Linked DNA regions of Coturnix japonica. The protein of the gene in region 1 binds, or shares a complex with, the protein of each later gene. Links are inferred from orthologs where the notes say so. Each region holds a gene or a part of one and is shown on either strand. Other genes may lie near its edges.

The links. The genes of interacting proteins can lie anywhere in the genome.
Region 2: the proteins of PRKAA1 (region 1) and PRKAB2 are in contact, whole or in part, in a crystal structure (PDB 4RER), measured with the Homo sapiens proteins. The link is inferred for Coturnix japonica from reciprocal best matches to the Homo sapiens genes PRKAA1 and PRKAB2. Residues at the interface, in NP_006242.5 of Homo sapiens: Gly20, Val22, Lys40, Lys42, Asn59, Arg60, Gln61, Lys62, Val69, Arg73, Val93, Ile94, Ser95, Thr96, Pro97, Ser98, Asp99, Ile100, Met145, Met175, Ser176, Asp177, Gly178, Glu179, Phe180, Arg199, Leu200, Ala202, Pro204, Glu205; in NP_005390.1 of Homo sapiens: Val80, Arg82, Ser84, Ser108, His109, Asp111, Ile115, Ser138, Asp159, Phe160, Glu161, Val162, Ala165, Leu166, Ser182, Ser184, Gly190, Gln191, Glu192, Met193, Tyr194, Ala195, Phe196, Glu199, Arg201, Lys203, Ser204, Pro205, Pro206, Ile207.

Annotation. Positions count from the first base shown.
Region 1 is NC_029547.1:11,802,880-11,806,424, forward strand, and holds part of PRKAA1 (5'-AMP-activated protein kinase catalytic subunit alpha-1), read right to left. Parts: intron 2,177-3,545; coding exon 1,690-2,176; intron 600-1,689; coding exon 473-599; intron 1-472. UniProt on the Homo sapiens protein: Catalytic subunit of AMP-activated protein kinase (AMPK), an energy sensor protein kinase that plays a key role in regulating cellular energy metabolism.
Region 2 is NC_029523.1:4,168,122-4,172,132, forward strand, and holds the start of PRKAB2 (5'-AMP-activated protein kinase subunit beta-2), read right to left. Parts: upstream 2,804-4,011; 5' UTR 2,729-2,803; intron 2,222-2,728; exon of another isoform or gene 1,583-2,221; 5' UTR 1,567-1,582; coding exon 1,405-1,566; intron 1,079-1,404; coding exon 912-1,078; intron 8-911; coding exon 1-7. Other genes in the region: dimethylaniline monooxygenase [N-oxide-forming] 5-like, read right to left, coding at 3,102-3,465, 3,540-3,612, 3,943-4,011. UniProt on the Homo sapiens protein: Non-catalytic subunit of AMP-activated protein kinase (AMPK), an energy sensor protein kinase that plays a key role in regulating cellular energy metabolism.

The DNA of each region.
Region 1 (3,545 bases):
AATCAGCTTCATGACTGAAAAGACAGGCTGTCCTTTCTTGGCTGAGTGGCTCTAGGCAGTCTTCTTCCCTCCCACTGAACTGGTATTTTTCTTACATTGTTAGTACAGTAAAGTGATTAGACCCTTTTATGAAGTATCACTGGATCTAAGCAGCAGCAGACAGTTAAAGTAACCTAAGTATTGCTTCTTCATAGCGCTGCCCCTTTTAGTACCAGTGGCATCAGTGCTGGTAGAGACACACAAACCAATAACTGAGGAGTTGATACAGCTAAAGAGGGTTTTGAGAGATGAACCAGCTAATCATTTGACTACAGGAGCACTAGAGCAGGAAGGAGCAAAGAAATACTAAAACTGAGATCTGGCTTTAGCTGATAAAGGGTAACAGTTTTAATTCACTTATTCACAAGTAAATTAAGACCTGGAATTTAGAACAGTTTCCCTTATAGTTCCATTAACACAAGTCTTTGCATACCATCAATGCTACGGAAGTCCAGTAAATATGTTCTGCTGTCCACCTGATACAGCTGTAAACTCATTTTAGAATATGCACTTGTCACTGGATTCTTTCTTCGAACACGCAAGTAGTATGGATTTACAACCTATTACAAAAGAGATTTGAGTTAGTTACCAGAACTGCTTGAGATGCAGACCATACTGTTCTTATTTCAACTTACTAATATCAAGGGATTTCAGGCTTGCCTCTTAAGGTGCGTTTTTTGGTGGTTTTTTTTTTTTTGTCTGTTTGTTTGTTTGTTTGCTTTTTCCTACTGGCAAAAGGAAAAAAAAAAAAGAAAAAAGAAAAAAGAAAAAAGAAAAAAAAGAAAACCCACACATCCTTAGAGCCCCAGCAGAAAAGTTAGACATGTTAACACAACTTTTTTTCTTTCAGCATAAATTACCTCTTCCAAAACCATTTTCATGCAGTAAGCAAGTTGTTGGTGCACACACACACACTTGTTTTCCTGCACAGGAATGTCATCAGAAAAATCAGGAAAGTAAACTTGCTAACTCCAACATAGTGTAAGAAAAACAGCATTCCTTTTAGTTCATGATACATACCTGGCAACTTGACAAATCAAGCACTCACTCCTGGAGTTCATGTTCTAAATTTAAGCATTTAAGCCATTCACATGCAATACATTTCTGGAAACTACATATTCATTATTTTCCAAGAATTCATTAATATATGTTAAAAACCCTGTTGGGCCTGCACAGTGGGAACCTAGGATGGTCACAGACCACTTCCTTCAGTTTCCTCTTGATATTGCCTAGCTGACCTTTAGCTGTTTTCCCCCAGTTTGGCAAATTTCCATTGCTTGTTATGCCATAATGAGCAACTTTCTATCTTGGTACACTATAACTCAAAACAATTTATATGAAACCCAAGAAAAAGTCCTTGCACCTGGTGGATGCAAAGGTAAAAGTAATCTATTTTGACTTCATTGAGCAAGGATCATTCAGAAAAACATGACTGTTCACATACTAAGCAAAGCTAAACTGGAAAGTTTTAGAACTAGCACACAAATTTCTTTTTGCTGAACTAATATACCAGTCCTTAAATTAATGTACTTATAGCTATTGCTGAACCAGACTATATACGGAAGATGCAGTTTTTTAGACTTCTAGGCTATATAACAACACAGCTCAAAATCTACTGCTTCTTGTAATAAAGAAGTAATATGCTTTTACCTTCCATTCATAGTCCAGCTGTTTAATTGCTCGACAAACTTCAGCCATTATATCATTTGGTCGACTCTGACTCCGTATCCCCAGATGCCACTTTGCTCTTCTTACACCTTGGTGTTTTGATTTCTGTGGATTCAGCTCATCAAGAGTATGGCGAGGCCGCGGTGCTTCAGCTACTAAGAATGGCACTCTCTCAGGATGAGGGCGAGACAGATGGTGATCATCAAGAAAAGAATCTGGCGGGCTAGTAGCCAGGTAGAAGTCTTTGGCCTCGTTCATTATTCTTCTATTATCTATAATGAGGTGATAAGCAACTGCTAAAGGATCCTGATGATTTCGGCTATACAGACAACTTAGCACTTCCTCTTCAGTACATTCAAACTTCTCACATACTTCTTTTAAGGCTTCATCATCAATCATGGTAGAGCTATATGAAGGGTCTTCGGGAAACAAGTATTTGGGAAGGTCCTGCTTAAACCACTCGTGTTCCCTAGATTTAAAAATAGCAAAGTCTAAGTCTGTATGTGGAGCAAACCTTCTTGGCAATAGATTCTTTAAGTTATATTTCATGCATACACAAAGAAATCACAACTGTCAGCCCAAGTGTCCCTTCTATGCACTTCCAACAAAACATCCCACACACTAAAGTAACTGAAAAATTCTATAAAATAAAAAGCAAGCATTAATGGCTTCACAACGTTTTGTTATGCATTCAGGATTAAAAAATAAAAAATAAATAAAAACCTACACCTTCTTTCTTAGAAGTGTTGCAACTATCTGAGCTCCAAAAACACCTTATTGTAACTCATCAACTTGTTGTGCATATTAAATGGATGGTTATTTAAGAATATTTCAGCTGAAATTCTTATGCTTCACACACTAAACAGACTTTCATCAGTAATGACCACTTCAGTATGGGAGAAAGCTTTTCCTATGCCACTAAAAAGCACTGCCCCAGCTGGGTAAATGTGCCTAGAACATTATTACTGCTCTTTAAAATGAGCCTCTCCTCTTGCACATGCACACATTTGGCCACGAAACAATTAAGGTATTCAGTTAATGAGAGTCGGATTGCCCTTTAAACTGACATGATGTCTTAAGGTTGAGTACAGAACTGTTAAGGATTCAAAATCCATCCATGCTCTGCAACCAAAATTTTTCAACATCTTTTCCAATACTTCCCCTAGACTTTAGATGACTTACATTAGCTAAGATCCTATCCACTCAAGTCATACAGCTCTTAGTTCTCATTGCTTTTGTTTTCTGATCAGCCTCTTCACTAAGATAGTATTTCAGTGCTCTTCTTAGAGCTTCTCAAAAAGGAAGCAGAAAAACCTAAAGCTGTGCTTCTTCAAGCAGCTTACCAGATACCAAGTCTTTGCTTTACACATTCCATATTTGCCAAAGCAAACACCCACTTCAAAAATCACAGCTTTTGTGGGCTCCGTATTCAAATACATTTGTAGCTTTAGCTCACCAAAATTCTGTGTAGTAAATGTCAGTCTTACACATTCTCATGCCAGGCCTTTGAAGCCAGAATAAGAAGTGTTAAGATGAATATTCCATCTGTAAGACACCGTGTCTTTTTCACAGTCTCCAGAAACATGAATTAAACAGTAGTTACGCTGAAGAAGATCTGTAATGTCTCCTCAGATATTTAAAGCACAGAACCAAGCCAAGAAGTTCTTTGTCCAGAAAGCAATAGTGCTGTGCAGTTTTGCACGTCATTCTGCAGCAACTTTATAAACACAGTCCTAATTCAAATTTCTCAAAATTCCTATAAAGTATATCTTTTACTGTAGCCTCCAATAGATACTTCTTTGTCCAGGGAGATGAGAACCACCAGAAGCCAAATAACC
Region 2 (4,011 bases), on another chromosome or scaffold:
GTTGTGGCTGTGCAGAGAGAACAGATGTACAACACCATTACTGCAGTGATGCTTTGGATGCTGTCCCAGAGAAGAGCACTTTGTCATGCACTGCCTGCCCCCTCGACCCAAACACCCATGTGCTGGGTTAGGATTGCTCATCACTCAAGGCATGGCCAGAGCAGGTGCGAGTGCCCAGAGCCCCAGGATGATTCAGATCCCTCAGGGCCCATAGAATCGTAGACTCATTAGGGTTGGAAAAAAACACTAAGATCATCTGTTCCAATCAGGACACAAGGCAAACAGGAGCTCAGCTTGCAGCCCTGCCCCACACATCGTGTGGGATCACATGATGGCAAGTGCAAGACACACTGGACAGGGCGAGTGAACAACGAATCTAAACCTGTGCTGGTACTGCAGGATGAAAGCATGAAGTGCCTGTGAAGTCTGCAGTCGAGATAATCCCGTGGCAGGTATTTGCTGGGATTATGCCCAGTCCTACATAGTGTTTCCACAGAAAACACAGGTGTACTGCAGAACAACGAGGACACTGCTATGGAAGGAGGACAGGTGAGGGACAACCAAACAACTCCCTCTAGCAGCAACACAAGCAGGCAAGGAGAAGGGCCACCAAGCTTCAGAGAGCTGCAGCACACCTGGGCAGGGCCCTGCTGCCAGGATGGCTGCTGTGTGGCATGTAATTGGGAAAGCAAGGAGGCCCATCCTGTCCTGTCCCATTTCACAGTTTCTCCCTACCACTGCAGCAGCCCCCAGGCAGGATGCTGGCTGCATATTTGTGCTCACACCTCGAGCTCGGGCATGATGAACTGTGAGAAGCCAGGTTGGGCAAAGGGAACAGCAAATGGCACTGAGAAAAACGCTCCCTGCGACTGATGGAGGAGAACACGGGGTGAGCCAAGGGGTATAGCTACCTCTTGATGAGCGGGATCTTGGTGCTCCAGTTGTTGAAGGATCCAGAGATGAAGACCTCTTTGCCTCCATCAGCCCAGCGGATGACAGTGGGCCGAGCCTGCTGGGATGGCTTCACTGACTCCTCCAGGTCAGGCTGCCATGAAACAAACTCCTTGTCCCCTGGAATCTGAGCAGAGAACACCAGAGCCGTTTCATTTCCCTCCACCTCCATTTGCACATTGCAGACAATAGTAACCTCAGGCTGGGCAGGCAGCTCCACCCATCCATCCCAGGAGATGTTTCTCCTGTGTTGCAGCTCAGCTTGTGGTTCCTGCTATGAAAGCTGTACCCCGGCACACTGCCACCCTGCCTGTATTTAGCTTGAATTAAACAGAGGGCTGCTCCCAACCAAAAATCCTCTCCTTGAAAGCAGCCTCAGCCCAGCACAGCCCCCTATGGGACACCACCCAGCACCCGACGTGAGGACAACAAAGGCAGCAGCCAGCCCCCTACCTTGGAGTCGTGGGAGCTGAAAACACTGGGGTCATCTGTGCTGCCCACCATGATCTTGTGTGGGTGCTCCTTTGTGGGATGGGCAGCGCCGGAGCCGTCGGAGCGGTGGGACTTGGAGCCATGGCGCTCACCGGACACTCGCTCGCTGGTGGTGTTTCCCATGACAGCTCAGCAGCCGCTGTGAGAGGGGGAAGAAGGCAGTGTTGCCTATGTCCGTGGGCTCCAGCAGGGAGCAGGGTGCTGCTTCCCGCTGCCTTTTGCCAGCACAGAGTGACAGCAATCCTAAAAAAGGCCCAAAGTTCTTCCCCGATGCCAAGTTTGGGAGCCGAAGGGGAATTTAACAAGCGAGACAGGCTGAACTAATTATAGGCATACCCTTATGAGCCATCGTGATAGTTAAGCCGGTAATTGTTATACCCTAAAACAAAAGTGAGTTAGACCACATCCTACACAAGTAGAAGGGCTGATGAGAGAAATAAAGCCACCCTTGAGTGGCAGATTGTCTCCCGGCACTAACAGAGCCTCTTTCACAACCCCACAGTCAGCCTGCACAGAACACAACGCTACAGCCAGCAGGAAAACAGCCGGAGAGTGAAAGTAGCAGCTGTTAACAGCTCCCAACGAGTGTGGGTGAGCCTGCGGGCAGAGCAGCACGGCTTCACGGCTGGCACAGCAACAGTGCTGCAAGTAGCAGGAGTGGAATCGGCCAGGCTGGAGTGCGGCCAGGGCAAGGAGTAACAACACGGTGTGTGCAGGCTGTGCTGCTGAGCAGGCTGCGCTCATAGCCGACCCCAGGGCTGCGTGTCTGCCCAGCGCCGGGCGATACATGGGCTGAGCCCATCGCTGGGGCAGCCGGCTGTGTTCTGCAGGGAGCCAGCCTTGATTCACTGGGTGCGTTGTGACAGCTGCGGATTTGCTTAGAACATCAAGCTATGTGCGGAGGGCCGGGTGAGGCCGCCAGCCAAAGCCTGGCTTTAAACCATTACGGGGCAATTACTCGAGTATTCCTTAAGCCCTCAGAGGGCAGCGAGCCCACGGCTCACCCCACGGCAACGATGAGATGTGCAGGGCCGCTGCAGCACCGCCCGGCACAGTGCCGGCCATAGCGGTGTCACCGGGCGCGGCGTTACGGTACCAACGGCACCGACACCCGCACCACCGCCCACAGCGTCACCCCCCGCACCGCCGCCCTGACAGCCCCACCCCCTGCCGCCTCCTGTCCGCTCCGGGCCCCCCGCCCCGCCGTGACACCCAGCACCCAACCCGGCCCCACAGCACACGGGGGCAGCGCAGCCCCCCATGGCAGCCCCGCTCGCAGCCCCACCTGCCCGCCGCCGCCGCCGCCGCCCCGCTCTCCGCCTCCGATCAAAATGGCGGCCGCCTCCACCGCCAGCCTCTGCGGGGCGCTCTGTCCCGCCCCCGCGCTGCTCTCTATGGTACCGGGCAGCCATTTTGTTTGAGGGCGGTGTGGCTTCCGGGAGAGCGGCCATCTTTGCTGTGGGAGCGCGGCCTGGTGCGAGTAGTTTGCGTTGTGCAGTGCGGGCGTTAATGAGCGCAGCCCAGAGCCTGAGCCTTCATGGAGAACAAGGACGAGCTTTATTGCCTTTCTCATGAGGAAAACGTGCCCCGTGCCCCTCCCAGCGACACCGAAACCCAAGGCAGAGTTAGGGGATGGCCAAAGCCCTCTTCACTAGGGGCTATGGGGACAGCGAGACGTAGATGAGCGTGGCCACGATGAGTCCGAGGCTGAAGAGGACCTTGAAGCTGTGTGGCACCGAGCTGCAGGGCGGCACAGAGCGGCCGTGCCCGGCCCTGCCCCGCAGCGGGTGCTCCACGCGCTGCTGCTGAGTCAGGATGGCCTCCCGCGCACCCTGCCATGCGCCGGGGCCATGCAGGCGGTACTGGTAGGGCGTGCAGGGCCCCAGCAGCACCTCCAGCGCCAGCCTGGGGTCAGTGAGGAAAAGCAGCGGCACGTTGGGCTTGACGCCCAGCTGGCAGGCGAGCTCGTCCATGTAGGGGATGTAATCCACCTGGATGGTGTGCCGCCGGCTGGCCACGTACCTGTGGGCAGGGACAGGCTCTGTGTGTGCTCATCGAGGAGGTGGTGGCAGGTTGGTGCCCCGCAGGGTTCTTACCGCTTGGCTATTTTCTCCTTGGCTTGTGTGATGTCAGCCAACATGGTGCTGGTTGGGGGCAGCTTGTGCAGACCTACAGAAGGAGAAGCAGAGAGCTGTGCTATCAGCAGTTGTGTCCCTCTGCGCCCAGCGTGGCTGCTGTGCCACAGGAAAAGCCTTTGGGCCACCAAATGGGGCAAGAGAGAGGCATGGGCAAAGAAATAAGAGAGAGAAAATGGTTTGCAGGTGAGGAGATCCATTACCAGCTGTATGTGATGAAATAAAGTGCAACACTTGTTGCAAAATGCAGTGATGTTTTATATCCCTTCATAGAAGGATGATAAAAGGAGGAGCACATGCCAGCAACTGAATAATTTGGCCTTGCCATACCCAGAGAAGTGCATTCCCGGCTCGCCTCGCTTACCCTTAAAGACACGGGTGGCCCAGCGGCTCTGCATCTCCGAGATGGGCATGATGGCTCCCAGAGGCTGGA